Linked DNA regions of Callithrix jacchus. The protein of the gene in region 2 interacts with the protein of the main gene of each other region in a biochemical or structural test. Links are inferred from orthologs where the notes say so. Each region holds a gene or a part of one and is shown on either strand. Other genes may lie near its edges.

Region 1 (4,018 bases), on a different chromosome or scaffold from region 2:
CAGCTGGCTGACAAATTCAGACTTCCTATCACTTTAAGAAATGTTGGTTTGCATTGTGGCTAATGCTTGTAATCCCAGCACTTTGGAAGGCGAAGGTGGAGAATTGCTTGAGCCCAGGAGTTTGAAATCAGCCTGGGAAACATAGCAAGGCCTCATCTCTGCAAAAAATAAATTAGAAAGAAAGAAAAAAGTGCTTGCATGAGAAAATCACTAGTATAGATGTGAAATGTGCAACTGTGTTTTGGTCGATGCTCTGGATTGTAAACTTCTTAGTCTTAATGGTTTTTACAGAATGATCTTGACCAGACATAATCTGATTTTAATTATTTTTCAGTTCCTAGTGTGAGTATTATGTAAACCATGCTATTACATTAATTCTCTTTTCCATTTTTGGTCTGTCTTTTAGGGCTCAGTAAAGAGACAAGCACTATATGCCTGTAGTACCTGCACCCCAGAGGGAGAAGAACCAGCAGGAATTTGTTTAGCTTGCAGTTATGAATGTCATGGAAGTCACAAACTATTTGAGCTATACACAAAAAGGTAAACATAGTCAGAGGTTGTTATTAAATACTTTCTAAATGTATGCATTCTTTTCCATCTACACTTTTTTCCTAATCTTGTTTTTTCATGCAAAGCAGTTGTACACTACTTTAGTAGTGAAATTTATTATAATTATTTTATATAATATAATTGGAAAGAGTTGTTTCTAGAGCCTTTAAAAACATAATATGGTACAAACTCAAACTAATCATCTTTCTCTGCCATCGTTTTACTTGTGTGTGTTTGTGTGTATATGATATAAATATTTGCTTTTGTGTATATTAATTTCCAGAATTGTAGTCTTATTATATGCTTGAATGCTTGAAGAAATTTTAAATTGGATTTTGTAAGACGAAAAATAGAATTGGCCTTTTCTCCTTTTTTCAGAAATTTTCGTTGTGATTGTGGAAACAGCAAGTTTAAAAATTTGGAATGCAAATTATTTCCTGTAAGTAAGCACTATAACTATAAATGTAGTTAGAACAGCTGAGGTTGATATTTGCCAGAGTGGGTAAAAAAACAAATACCTATATTTTCCAAAAAAGAAGTTCTTATTCTTTGCAGATGGGCATTTCATTTCTTACTTAGTTGGAAAAACTATAAACTGTCGAGAGCCTACAAGATAGATGGTAGTTAATATGAAAGGTTTGGGGGAGAGATGTACTTGAAAGTAATTCAGGTTTAATTGTATTGGTTGTGCTTGTGCTCTGAGGCTTTTAAAGCAAAGGATATGACTTAATAACAATAAATAGGCTGGGCCTGGTGGCTTACACCTGTAATCCCAGCACTTTGGAAGGCCAAGGCAGGCAGATCCCTTGAGGTCAGGAGTTCAGAACCACTCTGGCAGTCATGGTGAAACCCTGTCTCTACTAAAAATACAAAAAAATTGCTGGGCATGCTGGTACGCGCCTGTTATCCCAGCTACTCTGGAGGCTGAGATAGGAGAATCGCTTGAACCCAGGAGGTGGAGCTTACAGGGAGCTGAGATCATGCTACCGCACTCCAGCCTGGGTGACAGACCGAGACTCCCCACCACCAAAAAAAATACATAAATAAGGCTGGGGATGGTGTCTTACACCTGTAATCCCAACACTTTGGGAGGCCAAGGTGGGTGGATGGCTTGAACCCGGACCAGCTCAGGCAACATAGTGAGACCCCATCTCTATCAAAAAGAAAAAAGAAGTACTTTGAAATTTCAGGCCAATATCAGTTCACATAGGTTGATAATATTTATGATTAACTTTTATCTCCACTTTATTGAATATGTGTATTTAATTTTTCCTAATTACCACGAAAAAGTACAAAAAAATTTTATATCTTCCCTTCACCCTGAAAAAAGTATCCCTTTAGAAGTAGTGAGTTTTTTCCTCCTACTTTGAAAATTAAAGATGAGCCTCTTGGGGAAATAATGTGGAAATGTATTGAATGCATAAATTTTATAACATGTGAAATTATACTTAAAATTAGACCATATTATTATTGAAGTCAATATCATATTTCAGGACAAAGCAAAGGTAAATTCTGGCAATAAGTACAATGACAACTTTTTTGGATTATACTGCATTTGCAAGAGACCTTATCCTGATCCTGAAGATGAGGTAAGAGAATTGGGACTCAACCTCTTGTCATATGCAAGCCTCTGGCTCTTCGGGAGGGAGTGTGGGATGGTGAAAGGGTTCTAGATTTATCTTTTCTTATGAATGTGGGTTGGATCTATAATCGGAACATAACTATTCATTTTTACATCATGAGATGAAATACTGGAGAGGATTTTCCCAAGCCGGACCTTCTTTCCTTCCTCTCCTTCCCTGACTGCCTCCCAGCCCCCAAACACTTTCTAAGAAATGGCTTTCAATTTCTTGTGTCTCTTTAAGAAATAGGATATACAAACAGTGTCCTCTTAAAAATGACAATGAGAACTATATGCAAAATTCAAAATGAGTTCTTCCTCACTCCTGTACTTCTTATCTCCCAGGCATAACCATGTTAACAGTTGGTGTGTATATTTTTAGGCCTTTTTCTGTGCACATGAAAGTGTTTGAGTGAATGTGTATTTCAGTGTGTAGTTTCCTTTCTATTAACAAAAGTGAAAATTCTGTACACTCACTTCTGCAACTGGCTTTTCTCACTTACCAGTATATCATAGACATTCTTTCATGTCAACAAAACACACTTACCTGTTCTAACTGCTGCAGAGTATCCTCTAACTTCACACGCCATAAGTTAGTCAGCCTAATTGTTCTTCTGTAGCAGAATGTCATTGTCTAATTTTTCAATATTATAAAGAAAGCTAGAGTGAACATCCTTACACAGTAATAGAGCTGAGTATACTCCAAGTATTTATGTAGAATGGATCAGTAGAATTAACAGATCAAAGTGTATTTGTGGTATTTAAAATTGTGATTGGCCAGGCATGGTGGCTTATGCCTGTAGTCCTGGCTACTTGGGAGGCTGAGACACAAGAATCACTCGAACCCATGGGGCAGAGGTTGAAGTGAGCTGGGATTGTGGCACTGTACTCCAGCCTGGGTAACAGAGTGAGACCCTGTCTCAAATAATAATAATAAATAATAAAATTGTAATCATATCTGCCAAAAAAATTGAACCACCAACAGTATATGATAGTGTTTTTTCCCCAACAACTTTTGTTAATGCTGCATATTAACAGTTCTTGAAATTCATTTTGCCAATCTGATAAATGAAGAATAGTATCTTAAAATTTTTTTTCTTTCCCTGATCATAAGTGAAGTTATGCATCTTTTCATGAGTTCATTGGACATCCATAATAACCTTCTCTCTGAATTGTCCTTTCTTATCCTCAGACCATGTTTTGATTGGTTTGGGTTTTGTTTGGGTATTTACTGATTTGAAAGAGTACCCTTTGTCTTTAGAGATATTAGCCTTCTGCTTCTTCCTTGCTTTCTAATTGCCTTGGAACTATAGTTATTGAACCAAATTATATAGATGGACAGATTGAAGGTCTCTGAGTTAACAAAAATAAAAGCTTAAACTTGGATATTTCAAGGTATGTGGTAAAGTGTTATAGCTCCTCCCATTCCACAATATGTGCTTTTTTTTTTTCCGCTTTAAGAAGCCACAATAGGAAAAGGACAGAACAACATTGGGATGTTAATTAGTAGTTATGAGAGCCTGCGAATAAAAGAAACTCATCCCCAAAATAGTCTTTGTCCTTTGGTATATTATTTTTCTAGGGTCAGCATTTAATTATTTAATTTATTCAAATTAGAGGAGTTATCTCTCGAGGGGTTTTTCATAACATTTACTTTTCAGTTTACTTGGCAGTATGGTTTTTCTGCAGCCGAAAGGCGTTGTCTAATTTTTCAATATAAAGAAGGCTAGAGTGAACATCCTTACACAGTAATACAACTGAGTATACTATCCCTAAAGGATGGTGTGCTAAAAAGTCCCAGTTTCACTGTCTGCATTGGTCCACTCACATTACTTGCCTGGGGCTGAG
Region 2 (4,038 bases):
AAACAAAACGAAAGCCTTGATGTTCATTTACATGTAAAATTACTATTTGTAGCCTCCCACCTTTCATTTTTTAAAATCTACCATCTCTTTCCCAGCACTTTCAAACAAATTTTTAACTTGTTTAAAATAAATGGACAAAGTATGTCTAGTGAAAAAAACAATTCACTCATAACAAAAGCAGAATATTTTCTATTTGATACCTGTGTCTTTACCCCCAAATATATATTCATGTACACCAGGGATATCTAGCAAAATATAAAGATGCAAATTGCCCAAAGCAAGTATCCTGGCGTGAGCACATGAGGCCAAAAGCTAAATGAGGATCAGGGAGCCTAGAGGCTTGAGGTGGAGGGCAGTGCTGCGAAAAGGCCCATCCCAAGTGGGCAGGGTGGATGCCAGGTTCCAGGAGAACCAAACAGGGCTAATCAGTGAGGGTCAGTTAGGCCTCCTGGGAAGATTTACGATCAAACCAAACCTATAAAAATGAGAACAATCTTGCAGAGGCACCTAAGACCTCCACACTATTTTTTAAAAGTCACTCCATCAGCCCATGGTTAGGTCACCAAAACACTGCCAAATTTTCAAATTACAAGTCAGGCAGAATGACAGAACAAACCCTCAAACCCTGACTTCCTGGCTCACTACTCAGTGGACAGATCTAAAGTCTCATGTTCCACTTTACATTAAAAATTTTTAAGGGTTTCTCTACCTAACCCACCATTCGGACTCCCTACTATGTTCCCGTTTTGCCACCTTTTTAACTGTCTAACTCTGAGAGCAGAAGGATTTCTAAAAAGGTGTCTCGGAGTTCCTAGGAATCTACTAAAGATTATTTTAAGTGTCATGGGGATCAGAGGATATTACTGAAGAATGGCAGGTGTAAAAAGTAGCTACCTCCAAGAGCTGTAAGAGGAAAAGAATAAAGAAAAAGAGACACAGCTTAAATTGGAAAAAAATAAGGCAAAGTAGCATTTTTACAGCATGAGGACAGCAAATAGCATGAAAAAAAAGTCTCCCTGAAATTTGGTAAACTGAAGTTCTCAAAGAGAATCACAAAAATAACCTACAATAACCATTTTACATCACTTACTGATTCATTCGTCTCAACTCTCAGAAAAATCTCTTTAAATTCCATCAGAGAATATCTGTCTTCACCTACGAAATTTTGTACCTGCTCATATGAGTTTCTTATTCCTTTTACAATTTGTGGAGAAAGCTCTATTCCAAAAAGATCATCCATGCAACAGGTGAAAAGAAGGTAAAATGGTCATAGAATCCATTTCGATGCAGTTGTCTGAGCAGGTTATTAGTAATTAAGAAACAGGATGATGGCCTTGGGGAAGGTCACAGATTAACCATTAAGTGGGACAAGGAATCTGAAATCAGATTTGGGGCTCGCTAATAAAAGTAGATGAGGATTGTTACAAACTTCGGCGAGAAAAGCGAGAGCCAAGCCGCAACAGCTGCATGTGGGCAATGATTTTAAAAAACAGAAGCAGCAATAGAGAAAATAATTAGGGTTTCCAAGGCCCTTCTTTCATTTTTAAGAACACACAAACCGTGAGGAGCGTTTAAGCTATCCTCGTTGGGAGGCAGACCAAATGCAGCAAGAGGCAGTTCGGAAAATAGGAAGCCTGTGGAAAAAAGAGTACGGTACCTCTTGGCGCTGGTGGAGAGGAGTTTGGAGTTTTTGCTCATGCTGACTTTACTCTCCTTCTTCTTGGGGGTGTTTGTTTCTTTCTCGGTTTGCTGGTTGGAAGATGAAGATGAGGAGGAGCTGGTGCTGGCCCTCGAATCGTCATCCGACATATCGAACCCCCCACCCCACCCCGCAAACAGCCCCTGCAGGGGGAGGGAAACAAAACAGAAACACACAAACCATGCAGCCAGTGTAAATAAGGAACTCGGGTGCTGTCAGGAGGGCATTGACCAGGGGCGCACGCGGCCGCCCACCGCCCTCCACTCGCTTTTCAAAGTCTGCAGGCCCATTAAGGCTTTTGCAAATCGGACGCGGCTTGTTTGTTTATTTTTGGCCCCAAGTAGGGAACGCGGTGGGAAAACGGTCTGGAGCTCGGAGAGCAGCCCCTCCCTCACCCCCCGGGGCTCTCCGCAGGGCAGGGAGGGAGTAACCAGGAGGCGAAGAAGGGCAGGGTGGGGGCGCGGGGCGCCGCAGCGGGGCAGGGAGGGAAGGTCCCGGCGGCCGGCCGGCCTCGGGGCTGTTTTTGTACGCTTTCCGGGGGTCGTGGGGGACCGGTGGCCCGGGTGAGACTGTGGGGCCACGAACGGAGTTTGGCGAGGTCGGGAAGAGAGGAGGGGCGGGAAGGAGTAAGAGAGGAAGCCGAAACAGGGGGACGGAGGCGGGGAACGGGTGCCCGGGTGGGGGAAGGGAGAGGCCGGCGGGGGGCAGGGGCGACGAGGCCCGAGCCCCCCCCCCCCCGCGCCGCGCCCCGACGCCCCTCCCGGGCGGCCTGCCTCTGGGCCGCCCGGCTCAGGGCTGCGCAGCCGGGCGGGGGTCCGGAGCACACGCCCGTTCGCCACTCGTGGAGGGGGATAGGGGCTGCGGCGTGGGGTGGGGGGGGCTCGGCCTCCGCAGCGAAGAAATAACAATGAGCCCTTCCGCCCCGGAGGGGTAAATCCCCAGGAGCCCGCGCCCCTGGGGAAAACAGGGCTCCCCCAACTCCCCCCCACCCCCGCTCCCGGCCCCCTCGGCGGCCAGTGGGGGGGCTCCTGGGGCAGCGCTGACAGTTCGAGCCACAATGACCCCCAGCCCCGACGCGGGCGGCCCCGCAACCCACGCGGCCCGGGGTCCCTGCCCATCCCCCGCGGGCGGGCCCGGGACCCCTGGGGCTCCCCAGCCCCTCTCCGCCACCACCCCTCCCCCGGCCCCGTGTCCGGCGCCCCGGCGGCCGGGGCGGTGCGGGTCGGGGACGGCGGCGAGGGGTGTCCCCGAGGCCGGCGGCGCGGCCGGGGGGCGGCGGGCCGCTGGGGGGATCCCCGTACCTCTCTTTGTGTCTGGCTCCTCCGTGCCGCCGCGGCGGCTGCTGCTGCGGCTGCGGCTGGGCCTGGCCACTCGTGTCTCTCTCTCGCTGGGAGAGAAGCGGAAGTGCAGCAACAGCAACTATTAAACAGGCAATGGCTTCCCCCAGCCACACACGCTCGCACACACACCACTCCTCCGCCGCCGCCGCCTCCTCCTCCTCCTCGCCCTCACCCCTCCCCCACCCGGCCCGGTCCCACCCACCCGCGCTCCTCTCCCCCTGCAACACCTCCTGAGGGTGCGCGAGAAAGACTCAGGAGACCCCAGAAAACCCTGCTCCCCCCGCACCCCCACCCCTGCGTCTCCTCCGGACGCCCGGGAAGGGGGCGAGGGGTGTGAATTTCCTCTTAAGTGGTTTGGGAACCTGGATTCTAGGCGGGAGAGGGGAAGCCGACGGAGGTGGGAGGCTCTGGGAGCGTTTGGAACTAGATGGAATAGGGGGGTCAAGAGAGAAAGTTCTTTCCAGTGAGGGCTTTTGGAAAGGAGAAGGGTAGGGAGGTGGCAAATTGGTGAAAAAGATGGTAATCTGGTGGCAAGCAAGGACTTTGGTCTAGAGAATGCAGCGGGAACTCCACCTAAAAAGCGATCAGTTTAAAGAGAAAAAAAAAAGCACACAACAGGGGTTTTCTTTGGGCTGACACTTGCTTCTTCTAGCAATTTACCTGCTAGGAGTAGAGGTCAGTTTAGGCACGCCTGTGAGAAAATCCCAAACCAGGAGTTTTCTGCTCAGGTCACGCGAGGCACGTGCAGTTTTACAATATTAAATTCTTCCAGTCACTTTTTATACAAAGTGATGTGGTTTTATAAGAGTAATACAAAGGTTTTGGTGACACATGAAACCAACGTGCAACGGGCTTGCAAATGTGAGAAATCACTGGGAATAAGCTATATACTACTGAATTAGACTGGATTTAGAATTTTGGGTGTCATTTTACATTATATATAAGGTTTGGTTTTTGGAAATTGGATGGAAAGTTCTGGGATCGCAGTGCTTTCTTTAG

Evidence for each region.
Region 1: the proteins of UBE2E1 (region 2) and UBR7 form a complex in vitro, tested with the Homo sapiens proteins (2 studies listed by BioGRID). The link is inferred for Callithrix jacchus from reciprocal best matches to the Homo sapiens genes UBE2E1 and UBR7.

What each region holds. Positions count from the first base shown.
Region 1 is NC_133509.1:128,024,964-128,028,981, forward strand, and holds part of UBR7 (putative E3 ubiquitin-protein ligase UBR7), read left to right. Parts: intron 1-406; coding exon 407-540; intron 541-927; coding exon 928-988; intron 989-2,042; coding exon 2,043-2,138; intron 2,139-4,018. UniProt on the Homo sapiens protein: E3 ubiquitin-protein ligase which is a component of the N-end rule pathway. Recognizes and binds to proteins bearing specific N-terminal residues that are destabilizing according to the N-end rule, leading to their ubiquitination and subsequent degradation.
Region 2 is NC_133518.1:62,153,075-62,157,112, reverse strand, and holds the start of UBE2E1 (ubiquitin-conjugating enzyme E2 E1), read right to left. Parts: upstream 3,108-4,038; 5' UTR 3,001-3,107; intron 1,843-3,000; 5' UTR 1,810-1,842; coding exon 1,658-1,809; intron 1-1,657. UniProt on the Homo sapiens protein: Accepts ubiquitin from the E1 complex and catalyzes its covalent attachment to other proteins. Catalyzes the covalent attachment of ISG15 to other proteins. Mediates the selective degradation of short-lived and abnormal proteins.